Ovis aries: one gene and its partners. The protein of the gene in region 4 purifies or fractionates together with the protein of the main gene of each other region. This does not show direct contact. Links are inferred from orthologs where the notes say so. Each region holds a gene or a part of one and is shown on either strand. Other genes may lie near its edges.

Region 1 (4,216 bases), on a different chromosome or scaffold from region 4:
TACAGGGCTGTTGCCCTTAAAGTACAGCCTTCATACCCATTTGACTTTTCTGTCTTATCATTCTTCTTTTATATCTCCCTTACAGTTGGCTTTCAGCTCTCACCTCTGCTGCTAATATAGCAGCTCCTCCTCCCCTTTATATGCCCTGTTCTTAATCTTCTGGGGGTTTAGAAACCAGATTGTTAAGCTTGTTACAACAAAACATAAAAACAGGAATAAATTAGCACTGTGCAAGGTATTAAGGATAACAATGCTTTGCTACCTTTTGTTTTTTAGCTGGATTCTGGAAAATTGAGGATGTTAGATAAATAAGCTATTATATGAGTATCAGTATATTATACAGTTTTTTACATGGAACCATTCATATTTTAAAAGAATCAACAATGGAACTACTTAGCAGGGCAGTTGTCATAAGAACAGTAAAATCCAAGCTTGATGCCCAGGCCATGGAAAGGCCAGAAGCTAAAGAACATTAGATTAACCAAGACAAAAGAGATGACAGCCAAGTGTCTGGAGACTTAGAAAAGGAGGGAAGGTTGGCCAAAGTGGATTTCCAGGAGCCTCAGGTGGAGGAACGGATCCCTCTGTGGACCCTCAGGCGGGCAGTGGGAAGAACAGAATGTCCCTTACTACAGAACACGAAGAGAGTATGAAGACCTCTATCACCAGCCAAGGGCGAGAGAAATGGTGGGAAAAGTGTAATGATCACGGCCTCTGATAGGATATGAGGCTACAGTATACATGAGTTTTCACTAACAATAGTGAGGGGTGGCAGTAGGTAGGGAACCTAGGGCCAAAATAGGAACAGCCCTCCTGGTCTAAGATAACAGTAGGTAACAAAGCAACATCCCAGTGGAAGCAGTCAGTGAATACAGACACATGCTGGGGATGGACTCCTGAAAACAACCATAATATCTGTACTGGCCGCGGACTTGCAGCCAGGCTGTGAGAGTGCATTTAAACCTGTACTCCGCAGCCTACATGCTGCAAATGATGGCTGCCAATGCTGCCTGGTTCTGTCTCTGTGCCCTGGAAAGACTGAATCTGTGGAACTTTTCAACTTTTTTCTGGTAGGGCCTGCAGCAGGAGGAGAGGAAGAGAAGAGCATGGGAGAAAATTTACAGTGTAGATTTCCAAAGCAAAACCTTCCCTTTTGCCTTTGGGGAGTGGGGTGGCTAAAGGTCAGGGACTGAGAATGCCAGAGATACCTATAACACTTTCTTCTCTCTTCTCTCACTTCAGTTTTTACAATTCCCAAAGCTTTCCAACTTGCATTTCCCATTTGATTCTCTACAACATCCTATATGGTTGGTGTACACAAAATAAACATGTGAAGGTACATGGAGGCACTCTAACAACTTAAAAATAGGGAAACAGATTATCCAAAGGAAACTATTGAGAGAGACAATAAAGCCCCAGGTTTTCCAACTATAAGTCAGCTCACCAGGTCCCTGTCCATGCTAGCCCAAGTGCTCATGGGGTCCCAAGTGTTATAGATGTTTTCTTCTCCTTCCACTCATATTTAAGTCTGGGTCTCCGCCTGCTTGGAGGTTCTTTCTTCCAGCCTCTTGGCCCACCTCACTAAAAATGTCCTTGCTCAGAAGGGACCCCCAACTCCTGCCTGCCTTGCTGTGCCTTTCAAATAACTAGGCCTCCTTCCTGAACCCCTAAGAAGGTCTGTCTTCTTGAATTTTATAATAAAAATCATGATTCCAAGGAGATTAGCAGTCCAAAGAAAGCATGCCAAGTCAGAGAGAATGGTATTCACAGACTGACCTGGATTCTAAGATCAGCTTTATGGATTTCCAGGCGTAAACCCTGGGCATATTACTTCAGTTTCCTAAGCCTCAATTCCCTCATCTATAAAATGGGATTTTTATATAGTATAAATGAGATCCATAACACAACTGATTCTTAATATGTTGATTTCCCATCCTATTTCACCATCTGCAGTCTTCCTTCTAAAATTTGCTGGACTTTCCCTTCACAAAGCCCCACTCTAACACTGCATCCCCAGCTCCACTGATGATCCATATTCTGCAGGACTGATAAAACCACAGGATTTCCCAAAACTGAGTCTGGGCTTGGTAGGTCACACTCAAGACTGAAATCAGAAAAGTCTATGAAGGGCTATTAAGTCATGTTAAGAGAGCTTGTGGGAGGTATGAAAAGGCTATGAAGGCAATGGCACCCCACTCCAGTACTCTTGCTGGAAAATCCCATGGACGGAGGAGCCTGGTGGGCTGCAGTCCATAGGTCACTAAGAGTCAGACACGACTGAGTGACTTCACTTTCACTTTTCACTTTCATGCATTGGAGAAGGAAATGGCAACCCACTTCAGTGTTCTTGCCTGGAGAATCCCAGGGATGGGAGAGCCTGGTGGGCTGCCGTCTATGGGGTCGCACAGAGTCGGACACGACTGAAGCGACTTAGCAGCAGCAGCAGCATGAAGTCATGTTAAGAGAGCTTGTGGCAGAATGGGTTTAGCTAGGTCCAGGATACCACGCAGCAGAAAGTAGCAGGCAGAAGCCAGCAGGAAATGAGCGTGCTTTTGCTTTATTCATGGCAAGTGATCCCAGACTGTCTGCCTATGACAGTCTCTTAGGCACGGAGTAGGAGAGTAATTATCTATGTTACCTGTACTAAGGGTAAAAATAAGCCCCAAACTAGTTACCCTGTATCTTGGCCCAAGCTTGCCCAGGTACCCTCACTCACCAGCAGCAAGGCTGAGCTCAGCCAGCAAGTTCTTCTTTTGTGGTACAGGGTCAGCACCAACTGCCTCAGGGAAGAGGGCTCACCTAAAACAGAGAGAAGTCAGTCAGGGTCTTGCTCAAAACAGGCCTGAGCTTAGGTCAATGCATGCATTTGAAGTTCCTGCCCTCACAGGTCTTGCAACCTAGCAAAAAAAAAAGGTTAATAAACAGTTTCAGGTTGTGCTAAGGGCTATAAAGAAAAATAAAACAAAGCAAGGAAAGAAAGGACGACTGAGTGAAATGAGGTCTATTTTAGATGAAAGTCAAGGAAGACTTCTCCAAGAAGCAGTCGCTAGACAGAGACCCAAGTAAGGGGGTGAGATCTGCAAAGATCAGAGGAAGAGAGCTTCAGAGAGGGGAAATAAGCACAAAAGCCCTGAGGCAATAATGGGCAAGAGGAAGTCTGTTACACTAAGAACAAGAAAGTCTACAGAACTAGAACGTAGTGACAGAAAGAAAGAGTTCCTCCAGGCTTCCAAAACCTAGAACCCAGATGGGACAAACTTCTAAGCACTATGATGTTGACTTCAGTTTTCTCCACTTACCCCGTCCTCTGTTGGGACAGAGAAACTCCTATATTATTACTTGGAATGTGGGGTAGAAATGACTGGGGTAAAGAGAACAGTAGCACAGTGCCAAGCCTCGTTGTAAACACTTTGCTTGTATTAACTCATTAAATCTTTAGGAACTCTTGTAAGGTTGGTGTGGTATTACATTCTTCACTTTTTCTAAGGGAAAACAGATACAGAAATGCTAAGTAAATTTGCCCCAAGTCACACAGCTAATAGATGGTAGACTCGGGGCTTCAACCTGAGTTCAACCTCCAGGGCTTGCCTTCTTAATCATATATTATACCACTTCTCAAAAAACAGAAGGAAAAAAGACAGAAAACGCATGCTCTAGTCCTGGCTGACATGACTCAGAGCCCTCATTTATATCCAACGCTGGGATACTCTCCATTTACTTGCAGTCCAGGCTTTTTACTAAACACCAGTTGACTCCTGAGTCCTTCAGCCAGGTAGTTCCAAAGGATACCGTGAGCACAAAGCTATGATAATCACCACCACCACAACCGTCATTTAACTGCCATAACATTTAAGGCACACTTTGAAATCGTCTAAGTACTGGGTTAAGCACTTTACATGTACTATTTTATTTCCGAGAAGGAATGACAGCTGCAGTAAGACCTGGGTAGAAGGATCTGGGGGCAGGGCTCCAGGTATGAACAAAGTAGCAAACACAAGGAACTAAAGGATCTCTGCAGGCTGGGGTTAAAGCCCAAAAGCAAGCCCAAAAGCGGAGGCACTAAGAGGTGGGAGGTAATAGGAAAGGACTATCAGCTCCTCCAATTAAATAATATGTCAACAAACTGTGAACCCTTCTCCCATTTCCCAGTCCCCATGGTTCAGCAAACAGTGTAACAATTCTCTCAAGTACATATTTAGACTTCAAAATGTTCAGG
Region 2 (3,500 bases), on a different chromosome or scaffold from region 4:
CAACAAAAGTACAAGATGAGCCAGGGTCCCACTGGTAATGATTTGATTTAGCATAATAACTACAATAAATGAAACAAAATGCTTGAATCTACTAGTCTGTAATGATACAAAAACAAACAAAAACCAAACTGAGACCTTACCAGTTACTTTTGAAGGTTATTAGGGATCAGCTCATAATTCTGAGAACTGGTTAACAAAGGAAAAGATCAAGCACTTAACTGCCCTTCCTGTACAAACTACATGCTTCTTGGTAACCAAACAGCTGATAAGGCAAAGTACCTCCTTAAAGAGTTATTCCAGCAAACAAATACAGACACAGACAGAACATAAACATTTTATAGTTTCTAATGAATTAACAGGTAATTTACAGCTTATATGACAAAAAAGAGAACCAGATGAAGCATTCATTAAGTGCCACCTGAGAGAATATATCAATATCACTATCTATAAAGTATTCTCAACAAGGAGGGAGAAAGGAAGAAAAAAACCTGAATCTGATCAGGCCTCTCAATCACTAATTTACAAAAAATCTGGAGTACGAAACATGTAAAATGGTACTACTGTGTCCTATGGAAAATTCTACAAACTGTATAATCTAGCATTCCAACAAAAAACTGCAAGGGAAGAGAGAGAGGAGGAGATATCATAAGACAATGTATTGATCTTATCTGGATCCTGATTCACAAACTACTAAAAGAAAACTTCTGAAACGGGGGTGAATTGGCAACTGAACAAATATTTGGTGATATTAAAAAATTCTTAGTACTTTTATAGGTAATAATGATACAGTGAGTACTTTTCTTTAACAGGAGGATTCCCTGGTGGCTCAGAGGATAAAGCATCTGCCTGCAATGCAGGAGACCCAGGTTCGATCCCTGGGTTGGGAAGATCCCCTGGAGAAGGAAATGGCAACCCACTCCAGTATTCTTGCCTTGGAGAGAGGAGCCTGGCGTGCTACAGTCCACAGGGTCACAAAGAGTCAGACACGACTGAGTGACTTCACTTTCCTCACTTTCACTTATCTTTTAGAGATAGATTAACTGAAACATGGATAAAATGTCAGATTACTGGAGATTTTCTTCAAAGTAATCTGGGAAAGGAAACAGATGAGGAGACAGATGGAATAAGACTGGCCATGAATTGACAGCTGCTGAGCATGGGTAATGGGCTCGTTACACCACTGTGTTGACTTCTGTAAAATTTCCATGTCTGCTGTCTTCCATGATAAAGAGGTCCGGGGGGAGGAAGGTAAGATAGAGAAGGGAAGGGAACGAGGAGAGGGAGAGAGGCTGGCCAAGCCTTGAAACCTTAGCACAAGTAATGAGATGAGGACTCTTCTGGGGTTCTTCAGCTTGACCCAACCCCAGCTCCTTAAGTAAGGATCTTTCTTTCCCCTCCACCCCAGCCCCAGGGAGGGAGACATACCGCAAAGATGAGTGAAATGTCAGTGGTAAGGGCCTGCACTCGGTGGAAGGACGCAATAAGTGTCATGGGAAGGAAGCCATCAGCATCCATTTTTCGCCGCAGGAAGAAGTCTCGCTCTAAATTGTCCACGCTGAAGTAGTATTCACTGGGTGGAGGGGAGAAGTGTGATTGCTCCATCATGTGTGAACGTGCCTTCTTTGTTCTGTACATTCCAGGAACCTCATACAGCCTCTGACCAACCCTGTCCCTCTGTATTTACAATCTTAAAGGCTGGAAAGAGATGATGTTATCCTCTCATGGCTCCCTAACCTTGGGTCAAACTCTCTCTGCCCTTCAGCCTCTGGGTACACCTGACAAGCCCCTCATCCTTTAAAACCCAGTCCCAATACTGTTGGTCACCTTCTCCTCCGCTCCTAAAGAGCTTATCACACTCTACTGCAGTCATCTCTTCTCTTGTATGGCTCCCCCCACTGGACTGAGACAGTCCACTAGAGGTTAGGAGTTAAGGTTTTGCAAGTCAGACAGAAACAGACTGAAATCTGTGCCTTGTCACTTATTAGTTGGGCAAGTTACTGGGCCTGTTTGCTTATCAATAAAAAGGGGATAAAACCCAGCTCATAAAAATTAAATAGGTAACTCCATAACTAGGTAAGAGAATGCCTATAAAGCTGAGCACTGGCCTCATCAATGAGGACTCCATGAGTGTCTATTAGCATTCTGACAATGCTGCCATTACAAATAGAGGCCCAAAGGGAACAAAATCTAGACATTTTCTTTCCTTTTAAAAACATTAACTGATTCATTTTTAAAACAGAAGTACAGTTCTCTCAAGTTATCTTTTTCATCTCCAGCCAGAGGCAGCAACCACTGTGATCCCCAGAAGAGCCTGTACAGCCCTACTCCGTCCTCAGGCACCCCTCAACCCCACCCATGTCTCCAGAAGGAAGACGCCTGTCCACTCACATCTGGCGTTTGATGTAGTCTTTAAGCAACTCCTGGTCCACGCTGTAAATCTCAGTGCTGCTGACATTGTCAAAATAGTAGGTGATGTTGTTCATGTACTTGGGGGTGCGAGGCCCCTCCACACCATCAAACTTTCGGTAGCCGAACTGGTAGTCAAAATGGGCTATGGGAGGAACGAGCATCATGAGGGAGAGGAGATCCCCGCCTGCCGCCCCCGCTGAACTCCCTCAGACATCCCGGAGCCCAAAGGGGCCTCACGTACTTCGAGTGCCACCCCGTCCGCGTCCCCGTCCGCGACCACGCCCCCGTCCACGGCCACGGAAGGAAGCCCGCGCCCCACCAGCCCCATCACTCTTCACACTCGATGTCTCATCCTGGTCATGCCAGGCAGGCTCCGATTTGGTCTCTGGTTGCCAGGCTGGAGTGGGGGGGGCCACGGGCACGTAGGTGACAGGCTCAGACCCTATGGGGAGAGGGGGCATCAGGTCAGGCCTGGGGGTGACCCCCAGGCCCAGGCCCTCCATAGTGGGAGCGCATACCTTTGATCTCCCCGCGGCTGGTGGGGGTGTGTCGTGGCTCTGGAGGACGAGTAGGGCGTGAGACCAGTTTCTCTCTGGGCACTTCAGGCTTCATGTCTATTTGCAACGGAACCCACTTGTGTTTGTTCCCTGGAGGATAGCGTGGGCACGAGAAAGGCTTGAAGGAGAGGCCCCTCCCGCCCACCTCTACCCCCAATCCTCTGTCCCTGGAAGGGCTTTTACTGCCCGTTCACCTCGGGCAAATGCCTTTCCCTCACTGGAGCTCATTTTCATCCCTGAAATAAGAAAGTGGTGGACTTCAGTGTGATGGACACTCCTGGTTGACTCCCAACACTGATTTCTCCCGAGCATGCCATTTACAGCCAGACACATGGCAGCCTGGAATCAAGACCGCACCTCCAGGCTCCCCTAGATACATGCCAAGGAGAGCTGAATGCAAGCACTCAATTCTAGGGTGCGTCCCTAAAAAGCAAGGAGCTATTCCCCCCTTTCCCCACCCTAAGTAGAGTGAGTCACCTGAGATGAGAAGAGCCAACACACAGCAGGACAAAGGAATCAAAGAGCTGCCATTAT
Region 3 (3,500 bases), on a different chromosome or scaffold from region 4:
CTGCTAAAATGACCTTTATCACTCTTGACTGAGAGCTCTGGGGAATATTCTGTAGTAATCATGGGGTTAATGATTTAGACCCAGAATTGTAGCCGCTTGTGATCTGCTGGGTATGCTTTTGTGGCGTCCCTAGTGAAGGGATATACTGTCTGTGTCTCCAACTACTGCCCGCCTCCCCCCCCCCCCCAGGTGTCTGTACTGGTGATGTGTCACACTCGGGAGTTGGCTTTTCAGATCAGCAAGGAGTATGAGCGCTTCTCCAAATACATGCCCAGCGTCAAGGTAAGCCAGGGTAAGAGGCTTGGGGGAATGAGGGTGTGGAGAGTTGGAGGCCTTGGGAACTTGCTAGATCAGTAGTCTTCACGTCCCACAGGTATTAAATACCTGTACACAAATAAACTTGTAGGACATAGTAAGTTCCTGCAACTTAGGTGTCTAAGAGATTTATGTTCTGATATGAATTATACTTGTTAGAGGTGCCTCCTATATTGTATTGATGTGTGTATACATTGTATCAGCATGTATATACACTGTGTCAATATGGGTGTGCATTGTGTAGCTGTGATATTCAAGGTGTGGTTCCCAGACCTCTGTGGTTTCAGTGTCACTTGGGAGTGGTTGGAAATGTAGATAGATAACATGGGTTCCACCCAGACCTATCCAGTATGAACATGCATTCTAACAAGATTCTCAGGTAATTGGAGTTTGAGAAGCATATGTATATGCTTGATGTATATAATTTTTTATTCTCCTTGGGTGAAAAAGTACAGTTTTGTTCAGATTAAAAATTTCCCCCTTAATTATTATATTTAGAACTAGGAATATTTGAGTAGTAGCCGTAAACTAAAAGTAATTTGTTTAAAATAGTAGTAGTAGTACTTGCGCTTGGTAAAATGTGTAGTTAATCCAAAAGATCTTATGATGAATTTGTGTTCTCCTGTCTAATCATACTTCACACAGAGTATCACTTGTTAACTTTTTTTTTTTACTTCTAATGTTCTGTGAAACCAAGTATTAGGCACTATTTTCTCAATTTGTCTACTTAAAAGCCATTTTAACTTTTCATGTAAGACTGTTTAGCTTGTTTACATGGTTCTTTTTCCCAGAACTTGGGAAAACTGTTTAATTTTCTAAATATAGTCAAAGCTCTGTGTGTGTGTGTGTAAAGTATATCTGTGTTCATACAGTGTCGGTTTCGTTAGCATTTACTTTCTGTCTTTTTAGCAAGTGGAGTTTCCATAACTTTCCATTGTTAAGACTATGAAAACATTTGTTGTTGAGCTCAATAGAGAGCTAGGATGTAGTTTCACCTCAGTAGGTTTAATTCATCACCTGTGGACTCAAAAGAGTGTTCTTGGTGTCAAGATCAGATATAAATTTGATTAGTCTATTTGTCCTTTTGTTCAATATTATGCTTCAGTGATTTGATAAAGAGATTGGGCTAGTTCTGCAAAATGTCCTACCTCTGGATTTGTCTGGTTACTCTCCTGTTGTGGTGTTTTAACTTGTTTTTCGCTCCCAGTGTTTCCTGTAAACTGAATTTTTTTTTTTTTTTTGGTGCTGTGGCACCTAGTGTGTGGGATCTGAGTTCCCCCACTAGGGATCAAACCCATGCCCCTTGCATTGAAAGTGCAATAACCACTAGACTGCCAGGGAAGTCCCTAAACTGAAAGTTATGTTTGAAAGCTTAACTGATTCAATTTAAAGATTTTGGGCAAGAATTCTTCATAGATGATGCTGTGTATCTCCTGTTTTGTTGCAGACCACTTATCCCACAATTAATGGTTTTAGATTTACCCTAGACTTAAGGTTGTGATAGTCTGATCCCTTGATTGGTCTCCCCCTTTGAAACTAAAAAAGCAGTTTCTGATGCTGTATTAAAAGGCTCAACAGCCATTTCCTGAATGGTTTTAAGGTGGAGTAATATGTCTAGCCTAAACAGGGTCTATTCAAAGGAATTTAAAAATCTAGGGTCAGTTAGGAACACTTGATACCTGTGAGCTTTTTTTTGGTACTTGACACTTAATTTCTTGCCATCCTCATTTTTACAGTGAAGTCTGGCTTTGGAGCTGGAGAAGGAAAATTGTTAGATTAAGTCAGAAGAACTAAATGCTAGTCCTCAGAGCCATGATCAGCCATGTAATTTAGGACAGGTCACTTTTGTTTCTTAGCTTCAATGTTTGGGGGTTACGATACTTTTAGATTAGGTGATCTCATGTTCCGTTTAGCTCTGAAATGTTCTGAGAATTGGTTTAGAGCAAATTGAAAGGATGGGAACCTTGGGAAGGTTGACCCTTTCCTTCCTTGTGAAATATTGTTCTTTTCTGGGTTGGCAGGTTGCAGTGTTTTTTGGTGGTCTGTCTATCAAGAAGGATGAAGAGGTGCTGAAGAAGAACTGCCCGCATATCGTCGTGGGGACCCCTGGCCGCATCCTAGCCCTGGCTCGAAATAAGAGCCTCAACCTCAAACACATTAAACACTTTATCTTGGATGAATGCGATAAGATGCTTGAACAGCTCGGTGAGTTGTCCCAGTCGGGCTGGGCTGGTCTAGTGATCTGGGAAGTTGCCTTTTGGAGCCAAATGATGGTTATTTGATACTGGAGCACTTTAGTGCCAGGACGACTCTTAACCTATCACCCATGACTGATGGCTCTGGCTTCCCTGGTCAGTCTCTGTTAGGCTTGTTAAGCTTCCTTGGTGATCAAGGAGAAGGGGATCATGTTCTTCCTTTTTGTGGTAGATGTTTATCTTTGAGAGGAGGGACTTAGCTAATCTTGGATGTTAGTCACACCACCATTGTGTCCTCTAAATCTCTATAGTGGGTGTCAAAGGGAAGACAATGGAGCTGGAAAAGGAGACAGTCTACTTGTTTGGCATCCTCAACTCAGGATGTATCATCAGATTATAGCTGAATAAATGTTTCGACTTAAGTTCTGGAATGAATGTGGAGAGTGTGTGTGGGAGTCTGTGTGGTGTGGTGTTCCAGTGTGCTAAGTGCTGTGAAGAAAGGAAGATGTTTTATGAGAACTCAAATTTGGTGAATGAGACTAAGGATGGGCATATACCCAGGGATAAGTCATTCCAAATGATCTTTGGCTATTCTAGATGGCGAGCTATAAAGTGGGCTCCAAGTAGAGATGTCATATTTGCCTGACTGGATAGGACAGTGTGATCCAGAGGAAGCATGGAATGGACTCTGACAGCTGGAATATAATAGGTGCGCGATATTGGTAGACAGTTGGAGCTTGGGGAGAGAGGAGTAGGGAGAAGGGCTTTGTAAGGACTTAATCTTTGTGAGTCTCTGCAGTGGGCTTTATCCCCATTTTCCAGTTGTGGGCTTTGGGATTTCATCTAATTTCTTTCGTGGTTAAAATACACGGCTGGAACCTGGTCCATAGGCACTGTTGTTCCCACTGTATTGCAGCCCTGGACGTGATTACATGGCGGTTGGAGATAATAGAGTAGAGAGAGACCCGAGGCAAATCTTAACCCTGACCC
Region 4 (4,120 bases):
GGTGCTGCTAGGAGCTGGCTGCTGGCCATAGCCAGGGTACGAAGACTGTTGCCCGTAAGACGACTGAGAACTCTGGCTACTGCCATAGCCACCAGTTGAGCCATATCCCTGGGGAGCTGACTGCGTGCCGTAGCCTGCTACAAGGAAAGGAAAAGGGAAGTCACAGAAGCTATGAGGAAAGAGAACAGGCAGGGAATGCACTGAGAACAGCCCTGTATACCACTTAGTGCTTCCTGTACTTGGTAAGTCAACTTCTTAGAAAATGCTTGGCAATCTTGCAACTCATAGCTAAAGAGATTACCTTTTCTACCTGAAAGCTGTGTTTCAACTTCTACTCAAGTTTTAAGTTCTAACCTCATACCACACACCCCCAAAGCCAGCCTCCAGGACCACCACTAGTCATAGCCCAAGAGATCTCTTGTCACTAACAGCACTTTAACCTGCCCGCCCCTGGCAGAACAAATAAAGACAAGGCGTTTTATTTACACTCCAGGGACCTCAGGGCAAATTCCACTTCCTGGTGTATCCACGTGATGCCACCTGACTTCAAATGTCTTCAAGCAAGTCATTTTCCCTCTTTAAAAGCCTAAAGCATTTCTCCCTCTAGAGAATATTCCTCCCACCTTCATTTCACTTTCATGCTTAGGGGAAATTGGGAAAATAGCAGCATAAACAGAAAAGTAAAAAGTAACAGAAAATAAAAGGAAGCAGGATTACAAACCAATTAAGTCTTTTTGTTTCAAAGGACTCAAAACATCCAAGAGCTTTAAGGGTCAAAAACCGGTTAAGGGGAATGTTTCAGCACTGCTTAGGTTTAAGAAAAGCAACATTCACAAAAAAAAAAAAAAAAAGAAAAGCAACATTCACAAAGAGCAGAAGAGGTGGGGTGACCCACTAAGACTCACTATTCTGGGTCTGTCCGTAAGAACCACCGTAGCTGCTCTGGCCATAGCCCGAAGTGTCTGCAGACTGGCCGTAGCCACCGTAACTCTGCTGCCCGTAGGGTTGACTGCTCTGCTGTGAGTAGCCTTGCCCAGGCTGAGTTGGGTAGGCCCCATAGCTGGAGAAAAAACAGTGCTCTCAGGAAAAGACATCTTAACCACCCTCACCCTCTACAAACTCTGGAAGTCCAGAAGGGACACTCACCTTTGGGTTGCTTGTTGGGTATAGTCTGCAAAAGAAAAACAGGATTATATTACCTTCAGCCATTTCTCAGAATAGACGAGCTAAAAGACTTAAGCTTCAGGGTCCCCAGATAAGAAAATCAACAAAGGAGGCATATATTCCCTCATGAAATTCTATGGAGAGGGGCAGTCTGTGAGACCCCAGACAAGTTTTCTTACAATGAAAAAGGCAACGAGAAAGCGCATTTCCACAAAACCAAGAAAGACGCCTTAAGTACTTGAAAAAGCAAGAGTGCTAACGGACAGCAGCAACCTGTCCGCAACTTCAATCGATGTCAGAACTGCAAAGATTTACGCATTTCTTTCCCACGCTCCCTTGAGAAAGAAGACATCGCCAAGAGTTAGGCTGAAACCACACAGCTGTTTCAGCAGGACAGGTTTTTAATTCAAGCCAGAGGCAGAACTGTTCCGAAGGGAGCCTCCGCTTTCTCAATCCAAAGAACAAGAATGTCTCACAAAACGCCACGCTTCACCCTTTGCCCAATCTTGGAGCCTGGAAATGGGAGCTTCTGGTGCAAAGCCAGCTAACCAAGGGAAGAGAGCACTCTGATCAGCACGTTGGCTGGTACTCAAGCCCCCAGCCCTGTGGCTCCCAAACGAGTGCGTTTTCCTGTCCCTCTTGGCTAACTCGGGGCTGCGGGAAGACTAGGCGAATCCAAAGCAGCGAAAGTGCTTTTTAAAACGCCACATGGAAGACGCACGGGCCTGATCCGCTCATCTCCTCGATACAGGAAACGAGGCGCTTCCCCCGCAGGAAAGAGCCAAAGCACCGAGAGAGGGTGTGGCCCCAGGCGACAGTTCTTTTCAGTTCCCACCTCTGCAAGAGGAAATTCAGGCGGGAAAGGCCTCGGGCCCAGTCCTCAAGACCGTTGGACCACTCCCCAGCCCCCCACCCCCAGCCGTTAAGCGGGCGCGCGGCCCAGACCCCGAGCCTCCGCCTCTGGCCGCGTGGCAAGCGAGGCGGGAACGAGGCGGTCCCGCCCCTTCCCGAAGGACCCCGGGGGCGCGGCCCACACCGGACGCGCGCCGCGGAGCCTCCAGCCGAGGGTCTCGCGACAAAAAGCAGGGCAGACAGGAGACCGGGGTGGGGGGGGCGGTTCGCGCCGCCAGAAAGGGGAGGAGGGGCTAGCAAAGCGCGTGCGCGCTCCTCCGAGTGCCCGGATGCAGCACTGCGACAAAGCGGGCCCGAGCGCGGGGCTGGGGACGAGGGGGAGAAGAGGATACGGAGGCCGAGCATTTCCATCCATGCCTCCCATTCCCAATCACTAAGCCGCGTCTCTCCCAACCCTCACCTCAAGGAAGGGGGCAACGAAGGGACGACCTCCCGCCCCACGCGAGGCGCCAGATGAGCAAAACAAAATGGCGACATCGGCCTCCCCCTTCCACCCCTCTCCGCTGCTTCTAGCCAGTGGTGCGAGGAAAAGATCCTGCACTCGATAGCCGCCCGGGTCCCACCGAAAAACAAAAGCCGGACTGGGAAGGAATGAGGTCCGGGGCCGGCGCGCCACGATCGCCTCGCGCCCTTACTTACCGTTTGAGGCCATGTCCGCGCACGCGCGCACAGGCCGACAAGCAACAAGGTTCCAACACTACAGAGCACCGACGCCTCGAGGACTGAGCAACCCCGCCTCCTGCGTCGAGGTTTATGTACGCCTCCCCGCCTACGTCTCCCGGGGGAACGTACCAACTACGGAAAGGAAAGGGGGAAACATGGCCGGACTCCTGGCACTCTTCAGGGAGTATAGAGGATCCTAGCAGGCAGAAAGGAAATATATTAACTAAGAAACGTTCAGATCATATAGATAACCCTTTTTTTTCTGACAAAGAACTATTTGCTTTGCAAGACTAGCCCACGTTTCACCTCCGCCCCTAGGATGGCATAATGGTACGATCCGATTAACCCCTGGGGGCGGGGCAAGGGGCCCAGGGCTGCTGCGGGCGGAACTGTAGTCAAAGCCGGGAGTCGTAGGGCGGGAACCGAAATTCCTCAGGCTGGCCCCTTTCACTGGGCCTCACTTTCACTCGGGGTGTGGAGTTCCTGCGTTCCGTTCCCCTTCCACTTTTTCAGACGCGAACTCCCTCCGGCACATCCTCCCTCTCTGGCTCTAATGTTCCTCCCAAGACAACAGACACAGACCCTCTCTCAGCGTCTCGGTTTTCACTCATCGTCTTTTTGGCTTACCTCTCTTGAGTCCTTATCAGGGTTTGTAGATTGTGCCTTTTGACATGAAAGAAATAAAGCAGGGAGTTTAGCCCAGACCCTTCGGTCCTAGTTTGATCAAGCACTGATCGCCCACCCAGCGTCCTCAAGCCTTGGCCCCTGACTAGCTGTTGGACGGGAAAGCCCAAACCCTCCGGATCTCAAAGAGCGTTGAGATTAGATAGGTATCTCCCACCCTTTCACAGATGTTTTCCTGAAACTCTATCAAGAAACCAATGTGGAGATCCAGTAGTAAGTGATATTTGTATAGAGCTGAAGTCGTTTCAAAATGCACAATTAAATGCTTTCCCAACACAGTCTTATGAAGAAAGTAAGCTATCCCCATTTTATAGAAAAGAGAAATAAGACACCGACCAAGAACAATCCGTGATTATAGAACAGGTATCCTGATTCGAATCCAGGTCTGTGCAGCTACAAAAACACTCCTTTTGTTGGTTATGTGAACACTTTGCGGTATTCTGAAGTCTTTTCACTCTCTACAAGAACGAGGACAAAATGTGAAATTCAAATTAACTTGCAACTTGCACTCTAGTCAAAGTTCCTAGAGAAGGAAATTTGAAAGTATCTACTAAAACAAGACAAAGGAGGTTATTCCTGGTACATGTGCCATACAGATGTTCCCTCCCAATTTACCTTTGACCTGAGTTACCAGAACTTTGTTTGTAGACACGTTTTAGACACGTTTTCCTAGAGAAATACTTGTGGACTATACCCA
Region 5 (4,245 bases), on a different chromosome or scaffold from region 4:
CACTCGTTACTAAACTGTCTTGATTTTTGCCATTTGACAGGTAGACAGTTTCCTTGTGAATCTGAAATTAAGAATTAATTCGAAACTAATGCATAAAACTGTATTCACAAATGCATATATTCCTTAAAATGTATAGAGTATCACATTCTCTAGATAAGTGTTCTGCAATCTTGCTTTCCCCAACTACACAGAGAAATATCCTTTATTCCTATTCCTAGCACAGCTGGTCCTTATTGCATTGCGTGCTCGGCTGCTATAATATAACCAGAGGGACTGCAGTGCAGACGACGCCGGTAGGTGGGAGACAGGATCGTTTCAGGATGCGGAGAATTAAGGGACCCGATTGTGGGTTCGGGCGGGGGAGAGCTAGCCAGTTGAACCAATTTGGTTGGCATATAGGATATCAGAAAGTGAGATGATGATACTGGATGCTTGGGGCTGGTACACTGAGACGACCCAGAGGGATGGTACGGGGAGGGATGAGGGAGGGGGGTTCAGGATGGGGAACACGTGTATACCTGTGGCGGATTCATGTTGATGTATGGCAAAACCAATACAATATTGTAAAGTAATTAACCTCCAATTAAAATAAATAAATTTATATTAAAAAATAAATGAATACACTCCCTCAGCCTCACCACTTTGGGAAAAAAAAAAAAAAAGAAAGTGAGATGACTTGGGGCCAGAGGACGAATGCTGTAGTATCCCAGGCCAGTATTTTAGACTTTATTTACCTTTTGCAGTGGAGAGGTGAGTTAAGTCAGTTGTTTTGCGTGAGTTATGGGTTGTTTGAAGGGCTTGACAAGCTGAGAAATGTCCAGAAAGGAGCTCTAGGGTTGGAAAAACTGCAGGGCTGGTTTGTATTCTAGCTTTCAGTGCTCCCTCCCCAGTCAAAGAAAAAACAATTTTTTTGTTCACCCCGCGGGCTACAGCTTTTCCTTTTACCTAGGCCGGGAGCTAGGGTAGACCTTTCAGAAGTCTACCAAACAAGACCCGGCAATCTTCATCTGCCCCCCTACCCCCGCCCCCGCCCCCGCGCCGCGGGAATTCCGAGATCCGGGTGGGCCTCCTTCTAGGCGCTCTGAAGAGTAGCGATGGGATACTGAGACCGCCAATCAGGTATCTCGGATACCCGGATGTGAAGCGGTGAGCCTTACAAAGGCAAGTTTCCACCCAGAGCTTCGTCAGGGTACAGTGGCCAATAAGCATGTCTCAGAAGATAAATGACAGGAAATATGACCAGTTACAAACTAGTTTCTCCCACGCATGTGGAAATTCTCTAGATTAGTCTAAGCCACTACTGATTGTGATTGGATAGAATTGTGAAGAGCGGTAGAACTGTCTAATGAGAAGCGGGAGCGAGAAAACTCGCAGCCAATAGGAGGATTCTCAGAAGAGAGGCGGGCCTAGGCCTTCGCCTCGGCGGCAGAGGAGACTCGGGGGCCATTTTGTGAAGAGGCGAAGACTGAGCGATTGCGACCGCGTTGCCGACCTCGAGCAGCCATCGGCTTCTTCACGTAGAACCCAGGGGTAGGAGATTCAGAATCGAATCTCTTCTCCCTTCCCCCTCCTGGTAAGTGGAGGGAGCGGAAGCAGAGGAAGCGCTGGGTTCTTTGGGGAGCGCGAGGTGGAGTGGGAGAGAGGACGAGGGAACCCTCCCCTCGGTAGAGTAAGCAGGCCCCCATTTATTCTCTGGTTTGGGGGATTAGATCTTACGCGGAGAGTTTTCTAGGCCGCAGCCCTTGAGTAGATTTTTAACCCAGTGTCCTCTAGGCCACAATCGGCAGGGAAAATGCTGTTTTTCTTTTTCGCTTTCTTGTGTTAACGGCTGTCCTTTAATTTTCGGTGACCATGAGGACTCTGAGATTGTGAAACGGATGATCAAAGATGCTCATGAATGTAGTTCAAGTTAATGTAGTGCCGATGCTTCCTGTTAAATTTTAAAATTAAGTGGGGGATGGGGAAGATTTATCAAGCAGAAATTTTTTGTACCGCAAGCCTCCAAATTCTGGAGCGTACCGCAGGGTATAAATATGAAAACAATAGTTTTAATATTTTACTGATTACTTTTTAGTTTACGCCTCTCTGAACAAATGATGAACCTCGAAATATTTTCAATTTTATTTAAAAAATTGTAATCTGATTTACATATCAACAGTAATAATTAAAGCTGGGTTTTTATCTGCAGGTTACAAATCGCTTGAAATATATAAGTTAGTGGAACTTGCTTGAGGTAGGTATACTATCTTTCTTAGACAGAAACCGAGGCATGAGTGTTGCTTGCCTGGGTCATATTAATCAGCCGAACTAGTAAGGAATTTGGTCTCCAGGTTAAGGCAAGTGGCTTTACCTCCCCGTTGAAATCGTAGATGTTAAAAATAATTACAGCAAGGACTAGCGGTAACTGGAAATACCCAAACTGCTCTTGGGGAAAAGATTATGAGTATTGCGTTTATTAAAGTGACGTCCTAAGATTTTGTGAAGTTTGATTTTCGGGATATCTGGCATTAATTTTCCGGACCATCCCAAAGTTGGCAAAAATGCATAACTATATGCCTTTTGTTAAGCAGGTATTATGGTGGTTACTGTTTGCTAAGCCCTGAAAATTACTAAACAATTTTTGCCAGGTTTTTAAAAATTACATAAGTTTCAAAGTATCACATTCACTTATCCAAGAAATCGCTTTTTTTTGATCTTTGTGTAAGATTTAGGTGATTTTGTTTTTCATAATGTGTTAAACATTCACAAAAAGTAATGTTAAGTATAGTTTAAGCCCATACTGGGTAAATTTGTCCCTTAGGAACAGAAGCTAAAACTGTTACTGTAGGTAGCTATGTATCGATCCCTTAGCATATAGATTTTGTAATAGAATTAAAAGCTTTGCCTTAAAAATAAAAGCTTAAGCATTTAGATTGTCACATGGACTTTAAAAGGGCAGTAATTGGTTAATTTAGGAAATCATACGCCTAATATTGTTGGCAAATAAAGAGAAATGTAGGAAATCAGTATTTAAGAATGGTTAAATTCTTAGATGGAAATAAAATTATTTGAAGTGCACTTTTCTTGCCTTGAGGTGTTAGAAATGGGTTCCATAGGATCAGCATGTACCAAGGTAACAGTTTAATATCACTCATCTGGAATGATTTGGCCACAAAATTAATATCTGAAATAACTGTAGATTTGATTTCAAATAGATAGGCATTAGTAACATTTTCATGTTGGTTGGAGAAGAGGGATTTAAGAAGGATGGCTTAAGCTGGAGGACTCTGTGTTTCCCATGCTCATGCCTCCTGCTGTTTTCTTTGGTAGAGGATATAAACACACATTATTCCTGATTAGGTCTCTAGAGGGTTTTGCATAGTTGTGTGACCTTGTTTTGGATGGAATTGCTGTTAGAAACACGGAATAAGCTCCAAAATAGCTAATTTTTCTAATCTTAAAGATTAATTTATATTAACTGGTGGATGTGTGAGATGTCAAGTGGGAAGTGTGACAGTTGAAAGAACCCTGGTCTAGGAGTTAAGAGAACTGGATTTTTCCCCTCCTGCTGCTTATAAAATCAGTTAAACTTAATGAAATTCAGTTTTATATTTATAAGGGGTCTTAACAAGAGCCCTGGGGCTTCAGAAACTCAAGGGCAAGGCCTCCAGCCCAGCCCGCCCTGTTGTCACGGGGTGTGTGAACCCAAAGCCTCCTGTCTTGCTCATGTATACCCGTTTAGCATTCCCTCCAGAGAGGGTCCTCCTGCCCCCCAACCTAGGTAAATGCAAGATCCGCCTTTCCCACCAGGGCTGCCAAAAACTGGTCTGCTTTCCCCACCAGAATGATGTTGTTATTGCGAACCAGGGAAACAGGAAAAAAGGTAGTCTCTATCCTCACGGAGAAGGCGATGGCACCCCAGTACTCTTGCCTGGAAAATCCCATGGGCAAAGGAGCCTGGTAGGCTGCAGTCCATGGGGTCGCAGAAGAGTCAGACACGACTGAGCGACTTCACTTTCACTTTTCACTTTCATGCATTGGAGAAGGACATGGCAAACCACTCCAGTGTTCTTGCCTGGAGAATCCCAGGGACAGGGGAGCCTGGTGGGCTGCCGTCTGTGGGGTCACACAGAGTCGGACATGACTGAAGCGACTTAGACTTCTTACCTCTTAATGTCTGTTTTCTGTAATTCAAGTGATTTTTTGCCAGAAGGCTAAATAGTGTACAGAAATAGTTTCATTGTTGACAGCAGTTTTTGTATATTA
Region 6 (4,027 bases), on a different chromosome or scaffold from region 4:
TTCACCACCGAGGTTGCTGCTTCTGTCTGTCAAACCAGCTGGGTCTAATCTCTCCCCAACGCGGAGAATTAGTTCTCTGCTCCATTATTCTTGCTGCCCGCTCCAACTTTGCTCTGCGGGTTGGCATTTGCTCAGAGTTCTGGAAGTTGCCCAAAACCGTTAAAGCCATCCCGAAGAGAACTCCCAACAGAAAACAGGGATTTGGGGTGGACAAAGTTTGGTATGTTCTTAAGAAAATCGGGAAAGGCGAGAAGGCGCGAGGATCGAAGCATGTCACCTAAAGGCTGGACTTAGGGGCTGGACTGGGAACAGGGACCCGGGTAGGCCACGCAACTCAGCGTCACCGCTCGGCCCGGCCAGGCCCCACCGACCAGCGCGTCACGGCCCGCGCCCTACCTGCACTGGGGGCTAGAACCCGGCCCGCTGCTCCTGCGGCCGCCGCCTCTATCCCGCTAGCCTCTGGTCCCGGCCACCGCCTGCAGGGTCAACGCGACTTCACTGCCCCGACGCCTCTAGGACACAGCCTGACCAGGCAGCTCAGTCACGCCGCGCCACTCTTCACGTAGCCTCCGCCAGCCGTTACGTAGAATGCGTGAGGCCTGCCCGCGCCTGCGCGCGGCACGGGGCCGGGACACAGCCCTGGGGACTGCGCGAAACCGCCTGCTCCCCCCCAAGATGAGGCGAGGTGGGGCGGCCGGGAGAATTACATAAGCACCGCCCCTGGGCCGGAGCTGCCGGCGCCTATCCCAGTGCTCTCCGCTAGGGTTCAGTCTAGTTGTCATCACGCTGAACCCCTGCTCCGGAAGTTAAAAGTCACCATGCTCTACAAGACCACGTGTCCAGGGGCACGGGGAGAAATGTCGCCCAGGTCGTATTTGCTAAGGAGCAGAGTTTAGGGAATCGGCAATTTCATGTGCATGTGTTTTCCAATCGAGCCCCTTTTGGGGGATTTTTTTTTGGCGGCTCCCTGCCACTACTACTTTTCTTCACTCCCAGACCCACTCCCTATACGGGCCATGAACACTCCTCACTCAGAAGCAATGGCTGTAAGAGTCTGAGGGGTCTGTGCGGTATCCGGGAGCCTTAAGGCCCAGAGCCCGCGGCGCCTTCCGGGAGCCGTAGACCAGGCTCCGCCCTTCGCCCGCGCTTTCCGCACTGCGCATGTCCGGTTTTGTTCCCCTCCCCCCTCCGTCAGCAACGGGCCAAGAGGCGGTGGCGGCGGCGCCGGCGGCGGCGGCAGCGAAGGGGGCGGAGAGGGAGGAGCGCGGCGGGACGGGGCCTGGACCGCGCGTACTTCGGGCCGTGAGGTTCTCTCCGAGTCAGCGGTAGCAACAGCTGCCTCTGCAGCCACAGCAGCAGGTTTGCGTGAGGTGGGTCTGGACGCGGGGCCGTAACCCCTTGGGGGCACCACAGGCAACTGCGGGGCCTAGTGAGGGCCAGGGAACCGCGGCCTCTCTTAACAAAGAGTCGGCGGAGCTTCCAGGAAGCCGAGGCGCAGGGGCCCGGGGAGGGGTAGGAGTGCGGGACTGAAGACTCGAGGAGCCTTTCGAAGCCTCGTCGCCCTCCTACGGCTCCCGCTTCTCCCACAACTCTTAATGAGGCCCAGTTGGCGGCTTTACGGAGGCGGCGATCGCCCGTCCGGGAAGCGATTTGCAGGGTGCTGGGCTCCGGGAGGCATAGGCACGGGGAGGATTCTGACCCGAGCCAGCAGCAGTTAACAGATGCTAGTTTCCAGATCGGGGGACCTTCCAGGCCAAAGTTGCCAAATCTGAAGACAGTGAAAGGCATAGTCTGTGATCTTTGTGTAGCTTTGAGTGTATCTGTGACTAGCATCAGCCTCCTCACAAAACTTTTCTGCTGCCTGCTAAAGAGCCTTTCTGATGTGGGTAAATAATTTATATGGAGTTGCAAGCTTAGGGCACCAATAATATAAGGAAGAAAGATCATACTTGTCGAGACTTCGGGGGAATCGTAGCTTTCTTATCACCTTAGCGGAAGCTTTGCCCCCTCACCCCTTTGGGCGGTCATTCAGATTCCTCTGGCTTCCCATACATTTTGGTTTTTTGTGAATGATCTTTGTATATATCTATTTTCTGTATACACACCACCGAACTCCTAAAGAGCAGAGATTCTGTTTTAATTCGCTTTAACTTTCCAGAGCCAAGCCCAGTGGAAGGTCTTTCATACCAAAATTCATGTTGAGACTTTAAGTGGTTAAGGAAAAAAAATGTATGTTGTATTTTCCTGTACCCAGAAGAGACATACTCTGGCCTAATATGCAGTTCATTCACCCAAGAAATATTTTTGTTGATAACTTCTGTGTGCCTGTTCCCTACCTGTGTGCTTGATTTGTGACCCGACCCTCCTGAAACATTGTAGTGAGGGGAAGAGAGAAAACAAATATGTAAATTATACTGTAAGTTAGAAGATGATTAATGCCTTAGGTGAAAAAAAAAAAATAAAGCTGAAGAGAGGAATGGGGAGATGTTGCATTTTTAAACAGCATGGTCAGGGAAGTGTTTACAGACAAGCTGATGTTTAAGCAGACTAGATAAGGAGGTGAGGGAGTGAGCCCAGCTAGTTTCTGGAAGAATGATCCTTCCAGGCAGAGGAACCAGCAAGTATAAAGACCTTGAAGAGGACAATGCTGGCTTGTTAGAGGAACAGTTAGAAGACCAGCATGCTTGGAGTACTGTGAGCAAAAGGAGGAATTATTAGGAGATAAGGTCAGGGAGGGGAACAAGGCGTTGCAGGGAGCACCAGACAACCAGGACCTTTTAGGCTGTTGTGAAGATTTCATTTTTATTCTGCCTGAGATGGAAACTGAGAGTTTTGAGCAGGGGAATGGTAAAATCTGACTTACACTGTTAATAATTTAGTGCAGTTTGTGGAAGAGTACAGTTCTTTATGTTTTAGTTTTTATCACATCTTTATGTAATCAGCTCTTAGTTTCTTTAAGCCAGCAGAGGGAAAAGAGATGCTTCCAAAACAAGTGTAATCTAGCATTTACTTATTTTGGCTTTAGAAGAATGTGTTGGAATTCTTGGGTTTTGTACAAATTCTTGGTAAAGAGTCAGATTTATAGTGTGTGAGTTATTCTCAAGGCAGATTGTTAGATAGAGTAGACGGTGATCAACTGTCACTAGAAATCTTTCTCGTACTCCAAAAACACAATGATAACGAAAAAGTAACATTTTATAATCATTAGTTTTTAGTCCACTATTCTTAAAGTCATTTGGATCTTATTTTCCACTATTTCTCAAAACATAAACTAGCCAAATTATCTTCCTTGTGTTCCTACACTTATTCTAATTTCCTAGACTTTGCTGTTTCTAGCTTTCCTCCTTGCATCATGCTTCTCTACTCAGCTTATATCTTTCTGTGTTAAAAAAAAAAAAAAAAACAACTTAATCTTCTGGGTTCTAGCTCTCTTTTGAAGCCTGTCCCCATTTGTCAACTTGTAGTGATCTCTGACATCTTCAGTGTCATGTGGCACCAAGGTATGGAATCTCTAAGTCGAAAGAAACTTGAGAAGTCTTAACTTGATATTCTGCATTAACCAATGGAGAGATTGATTTCTGGAAAGAAAAAAAAAAATGATAAAACATGACAGCTAGTACGCATTGTGCACCATTTGCCAAGCTTTGTTCCAGGTGTATTTTTGTGTGTGAATTCAGTTTTTCACACCAACCCTATGAAGTAGGTGATAGTCTCACCATCTTATAGATGAGGAAAGTAAGGCCAGAGAAGCTGAATAACTTCCATGAAGTTCGCATCAAGTTAGCTGGCAAAGCCAGTGTTTAAACGTAGGCAGCTTGGCTCCACGGTCTGTGCTGCTTTACTGTGCTGTTAAGATTTTCTACTAAATCACATTTTAGTGCCTAAAACAGTACCAAGCAGGTATTGATACTTTATGCTGTCTTTAATTTTTCTGGTTGGCCAAGTTGTGAATCTCCCTAGGTCTCCTATACGTTGAGTAAACATGAATGATGAGTGTATTCTCTGGAAAACAGAAGAGGAAAAAAAA
Region 7 (4,059 bases), on a different chromosome or scaffold from region 4:
TAGTTGAAATTAACTTCCAGTTTACTGCTGGACCGCGGGTTGGGAGTGGGGGAAGGGGGAAGGCAGAAACCCTAACCCCACTGGGCAGAAGCCAGCAAGGCACAGGCCAAACCCAGTACCCCCTGGGAGGAAGCAGGGCCTTTCCAGCCGGAGTTAGAGAGCCGGGATCTGGCCTGCTCGGGAGAAAGCAGCCATTTCTCCAAAATAGTCCAGGGATTAAAAGTCTCCAAACACTGTAAACTGACACTACACATGCTTTCCAAAAAGTGCAACCCCTTCCTCGTTGAGGAAGCAAAAATCTTCAATCTTCTCCATCTCTTGGTGGTTTATCTACAAGCCAAATATTTTTTAAATTGAGAAGCAGGGTCGAGGGGAGTCCGGGAGACAAAGGCGGGTTTGCAGAAAACCCGTCTTACTCTGCAGGAACTGAAAGGCGCTTTGGGGCAGGAGAAACCCAGGCGTTCCCTCACAGGGAGCTCCCAGGGTAAAGGCAAATTTCTCTCCCCTCAGATGCACGCACGGCCCCCGCAGACTCTTGCCCGCCGCCGTGGGACAGAAAAGGGAAAGGCACGCCACACCCCGCGCGCGGCTGCAGCTGCTTTGCCTCTCCTACGGTTTCAGGCGGGGGGGCGGTCACCAATTCCCACGGATGCCCAGAAACTGCCCTCGGAGACTCTTGATTTCCTGTTGCACCAACCTGACCTACTCTGCCGGAGAACATTTAACCGAAAGAACTTCCTTAAGCGACTTTATATACCAGTATAAACAGCCCGGTGGCAGGGCCACAGACAAGCTGTCTATTCCTACAGAGCAGTGTGCACACACACACACCTGCCAGAAACACAAATGCAAAAGAAAACGAGAAACGCCAAGCCATACAGCAACCCCAATAAGTGGAAAAGTTGTTTTCAGCTGTGTTCTCTCCTCCCAATGGCCGAGAAGGGAATCAATGAGAACATGCTAAGCAAGCTCACCTCTGCCTTTTGGGGACCGAGTGCTCAACTTCAATGAGTTTTCCGTGCAGTTCCACTTTACCTGCGGACACACAAGAGGTGCAGGACAGTTGGCAGAGTTGAGCGGCTCTCTGGGCCTCCTTAGACCCGGAGCGGCTCGAGGCCGAGACAGAAAGCGGCCCCGCGCGGGTGGGAAAGGAGGAATCAATGGGCAGAGGTCGGTAACACTCTCCCCGCCCCCCTCGGCCTTCCCCGCCCACGTCCCCCGAGACCCTAGCAGACAAACTCAGGGCAAAGGGCTGCGTGGGCTTTCCTCAGGTGGGGGCGCCTAGGCCCTTCTCCCAGGGGTTCCGGCCCAGGCCCGCTGGGAACGGGCTGTGAGTGGCGGGAAAGGCTTGAGGACCGTCGGGCAGGCGCCGAGAGAGCGAACGTCCAGAGGCGCAGCTGGGCACCAGCGGAACCACGCGCGAGGGACGGCGCCCGCCACCCCGAAAGGCACGCGGCTCTGAGCGGGACCCGAGTGCATCCTTCCCCCGCGCGCGCGCCCGACCAGCCCCGGAGGCCGCGGCCCGAAGCCCGGCCCCGCAGGGGGACGCGCTCCCAGGCGACCCCTGGTCGCCTGAGCCCACCTCCCCTGTAGCTCGTCGGACCCGGGAAGGTGGAGCCCAGAACCCGGGGGTTGCCCTCGCCCGCCTCCCTGCAGGGTCGAGGGGAGCGCGGGGCCGCCCGTGCGCGGCACCAGCCCGCGGCCTCGCTTAGGCAGCGGGGTCCAGGCCACTTTGGAGTTCTCCCTCGGCCCAGCTCTGGGGGCGGGAGAGGAGGCAGCGAGTCCACCGCCAGAAACCCCCCTCACACACACACACAGAGGGTAAGGAAGGAGCGAGAATCGGGCGTTCGTTCCCGGCCCCCAAGGCCCGGCATGCCGGAGCCTGGAGCACGCGCCTGGGCCCGGGCGGCGCGCGGGGCGAGCTTCCCCCCTCCCCGCTCCAGCACCCCAACCCCGGTCCCCGGCGCCGCACGGTGCCCCCGCTCCCCTCCGAGCCCGAACCGGGGTTTTCTGGACAGCGCGCTCGCCCTCCGCCCGCAGATCTGGGGGGGGGGGAGGGGAGCCGTGGGGCCGGGTAGGCGCCCCGGCTGGGGGAAGGGCCCCGACCCGCGCGTGCGGGCGCCCGGGCCTTGGCCGCTCTCCGCAGGCGCACCCGCACCCGCCCAGGCCGGGGCCCGGTGCGGACAGCACGGTGTGTGGACTGCCGCGAGCCCGACCCCGGCAGGCCCGGCCCGGGGCCCACCTGAAAGCGCCTCGATGGCCTTGAGGGCCCAGCTGTCGTCCGGACAGTCCACGAACGCGTAGCCCGTCTTCACCAGGAAGGGTCCCGACACCGGGATCTTGGCGTCCTTGAAGACACTTTCTAGGTCCGAGGCGACGGCGTTCTCGCTGAGGTTTCCGATATACAGTTTGTTCATTGTGAAGAGTGGTTGTTGCTTTTATAAAAAAAAAATTAGGAGAAAAACGAAAAATTAAAACCACCCACAGCGATGGATGGATCCGGCGAGTTCTCCTCCTCTTCTCGCCGTTAAAATACACAAACACAGTAAGAACCAAGGACAGGAACGAGAAGCGAAAAAAATCAGATCCGAGGGTTCCTGTTTTTTCCTTTTCTAGGTATTAAAAGAAAAAAGAAAAACCCTAGCGACAACCCAAACGCATCCAGTCTTCCTAACTCGGAGGAGGAGGCGGGATTAGCAAGAAAAAGGAGGAGAGAAAGGAGGGGGGGGAAACTACTTTTTGTCTTTTCCTCCCCAAACCCTCTGGCATCGACCGACGGACTGTGAAAATATTACACTACGAGAGGGCAAGCACCGCCTCCCCATAAAAAAAAAAAAAAAAAACCCAGAAGGGTGACTGGCAGGAGGGAGGGGAGAAGGGGTGGAGGGGAGGCAGGCGCAGGAGGCGGAAAAAATCCGCTCCGAGTGTCCGGCTTTTTGAATGAGCCACGTGTTCAAACTACAAATCAACGTCTCACGTGAGGAATCCCAGCGCCTCAATTACAGTGGGTTTCGCAGGAAAAAAAAAAAAAAAAGCTAGCAAGAGGAGGAAGAGGGGGAGGGGTAACAAGATTGGGCGAAGGACCCTGCGCAGGGGCGGAGAAAGAGGAGCGGAAAATGCTAAAGGAGCCGCAGCCGGGGTTGCGGAGGGAAGCGCGGCTGGGGGAGCTGATGGTCACCACAGAGTTTAGAAAGGGTTATCTGGTCGGGGCGGATCCTCCAGGAGGGGAGAGGGGGCGGGAGGAGTATTGATTTTTTTTAAAAATGTGATTGGAGTGGGGGTGCTAACTAGGCAGTCCCTCGGCTCTATTTACCCGAGTTTTAAAGACTCGGTTTTTAAAAATCGGTAATCAAACAAAGCCAAAGAGTCACAATTCCGAACTCGCCTTGTGGCTTCGATGACAGAAGTGTAACCTCGGCAAACCGCGAGCACCTTTCCAGGGGTTGGTGGGGACGGAAACGCAGCAGGGGGGGGGAGGGTTGGGAGGGAGCCGGAGAGGCGGGCCGACGCGCCCCACCCTGTGCACCCTTTGCTGGCGCGGGCACCGGCAAAGTGGGGCGGCCCCGAGCCAGGCCGGTGGGGGGATGGGAGCCCGCGGCGTCCTGGGCGGGTGTCTGGGCGACACCTCCTCCGCCTCCGCCTGCGCTCGCGGTGGCTTTGGGCTTCGCGTTTGCTATTGGTTGCGCGATTCAGAAAAGGCTCCGGGATCAATGAGGCCGGGGGCGGGCTTGGCCACCGGTGGGGGAGGGGAGCGCAGGGGCCAAGGTTTCTGGAGTGGGGATGGGGGCGTCCCGGGCCTCGGAGGCCGGAGCAGAAAAGTCAGAGTGGGAAAAGTCGGTATTTAAACGGAAACCATATCTTCCTGTAGTTTCCAGAGGAGGAGGAAGAGGAGGAGTGGGGTAGGCTGGTACTTTTATTTAAAGAATTTTAGCTGGAGAACTTGGGACTCTTAAAACAGGAACACCGCTCTGCGTTACCCCTAAGTGGTAACTTGTACTTGAAAAATTGCTTAAGTCTCTTTCTGCTGCTTTTCTGCCTGCATTTGGCCATTATAACCAT

What was found.
Region 1: the proteins of FUS (region 4) and RALY purify together in Homo sapiens (affinity purification with mass spectrometry; 3 studies listed by BioGRID and IntAct, with this or other methods). This does not show direct contact. The link is inferred for Ovis aries from reciprocal best matches to the Homo sapiens genes FUS and RALY.
Region 2: the proteins of FUS (region 4) and LARP1 purify together in Homo sapiens (affinity purification with mass spectrometry; 3 studies listed by BioGRID and IntAct, with this or other methods). This does not show direct contact. The link is inferred for Ovis aries from reciprocal best matches to the Homo sapiens genes FUS and LARP1.
Region 3: the proteins of FUS (region 4) and DDX39B purify together in Homo sapiens (affinity purification with mass spectrometry; 3 studies listed by BioGRID and IntAct, with this or other methods). This does not show direct contact. The link is inferred for Ovis aries from reciprocal best matches to the Homo sapiens genes FUS and DDX39B.
Region 5: the proteins of FUS (region 4) and HNRNPC purify together in Homo sapiens (affinity purification with mass spectrometry; 3 studies listed by BioGRID and IntAct, with this or other methods). This does not show direct contact. The link is inferred for Ovis aries from reciprocal best matches to the Homo sapiens genes FUS and HNRNPC.
Region 6: the proteins of FUS (region 4) and DDX42 purify together in Homo sapiens (affinity purification with mass spectrometry; 3 studies listed by BioGRID and IntAct, with this or other methods). This does not show direct contact. The link is inferred for Ovis aries from reciprocal best matches to the Homo sapiens genes FUS and DDX42.
Region 7: the proteins of FUS (region 4) and IGF2BP3 purify together in Homo sapiens (affinity purification with mass spectrometry; 3 studies listed by BioGRID and IntAct, with this or other methods). This does not show direct contact. The link is inferred for Ovis aries from reciprocal best matches to the Homo sapiens genes FUS and IGF2BP3.

What each region holds. Positions count from the first base shown.
Region 1 is NC_056066.1:63,428,823-63,433,038, reverse strand, and holds the start of RALY (RNA-binding protein Raly), read right to left. Parts: upstream 2,801-4,216; 5' UTR 1-2,800. UniProt on the Homo sapiens protein: RNA-binding protein that acts as a transcriptional cofactor for cholesterol biosynthetic genes in the liver. Binds the lipid-responsive non-coding RNA LeXis and is required for LeXis-mediated effect on cholesterogenesis.
Region 2 is NC_056058.1:63,776,794-63,780,293, reverse strand, and holds part of LARP1 (la-related protein 1), read right to left. Parts: intron 3,057-3,500; coding exon 2,928-3,056; intron 2,852-2,927; coding exon 2,651-2,851; intron 2,552-2,650; coding exon 2,389-2,551; intron 1,571-2,388; coding exon 1,426-1,570; intron 1-1,425. UniProt on the Homo sapiens protein: RNA-binding protein that regulates the translation of specific target mRNA species downstream of the mTORC1 complex, in function of growth signals and nutrient availability.
Region 3 is NC_056073.1:26,832,893-26,836,392, forward strand, and holds part of DDX39B (spliceosome RNA helicase DDX39B), read left to right. Parts: intron 1-189; coding exon 190-282; intron 283-2,336; coding exon 2,337-2,520; intron 2,521-2,577; exon of another isoform or gene 2,578-2,654; intron 2,655-3,500. UniProt on the Homo sapiens protein: Involved in nuclear export of spliced and unspliced mRNA. Component of the TREX complex which is thought to couple mRNA transcription, processing and nuclear export, and specifically associates with spliced mRNA and not with unspliced pre-mRNA.
Region 4 is NC_056077.1:27,781,522-27,785,641, reverse strand, and holds the start of FUS (RNA-binding protein FUS), read right to left. Parts: upstream 2,801-4,120; 5' UTR 2,729-2,800; coding exon 2,716-2,728; intron 1,172-2,715; coding exon 1,147-1,171; intron 1,061-1,146; coding exon 906-1,060; intron 138-905; coding exon 1-137. UniProt on the Homo sapiens protein: DNA/RNA-binding protein that plays a role in various cellular processes such as transcription regulation, RNA splicing, RNA transport, DNA repair and damage response. Binds to ssRNA containing the consensus sequence 5'-AGGUAA-3'.
Region 5 is NC_056060.1:24,220,408-24,224,652, forward strand, and holds the start of HNRNPC (heterogeneous nuclear ribonucleoproteins C1/C2), read left to right. Parts: upstream 1-1,445; 5' UTR 1,446-1,573; intron 1,574-2,188; 5' UTR 2,189-2,233; intron 2,234-4,245. UniProt on the Homo sapiens protein: Binds pre-mRNA and nucleates the assembly of 40S hnRNP particles. Interacts with poly-U tracts in the 3'-UTR or 5'-UTR of mRNA and modulates the stability and the level of translation of bound mRNA molecules. Single HNRNPC tetramers bind 230-240 nucleotides.
Region 6 is NC_056064.1:47,759,534-47,763,560, forward strand, and holds the start of DDX42 (ATP-dependent RNA helicase DDX42), read left to right. Parts: upstream 1-1,227; 5' UTR 1,228-1,370; intron 1,371-4,027. UniProt on the Homo sapiens protein: ATP-dependent RNA helicase that binds to partially double-stranded RNAs (dsRNAs) in order to unwind RNA secondary structures. Unwinding is promoted in the presence of single-strand binding proteins.
Region 7 is NC_056057.1:32,994,807-32,998,865, forward strand, and holds the start of IGF2BP3 (insulin-like growth factor 2 mRNA-binding protein 3), read right to left. Parts: upstream 2,801-4,059; 5' UTR 2,418-2,800; coding exon 2,243-2,417; intron 1,036-2,242; coding exon 975-1,035; intron 1-974. UniProt on the Homo sapiens protein: RNA-binding factor that may recruit target transcripts to cytoplasmic protein-RNA complexes (mRNPs). This transcript 'caging' into mRNPs allows mRNA transport and transient storage.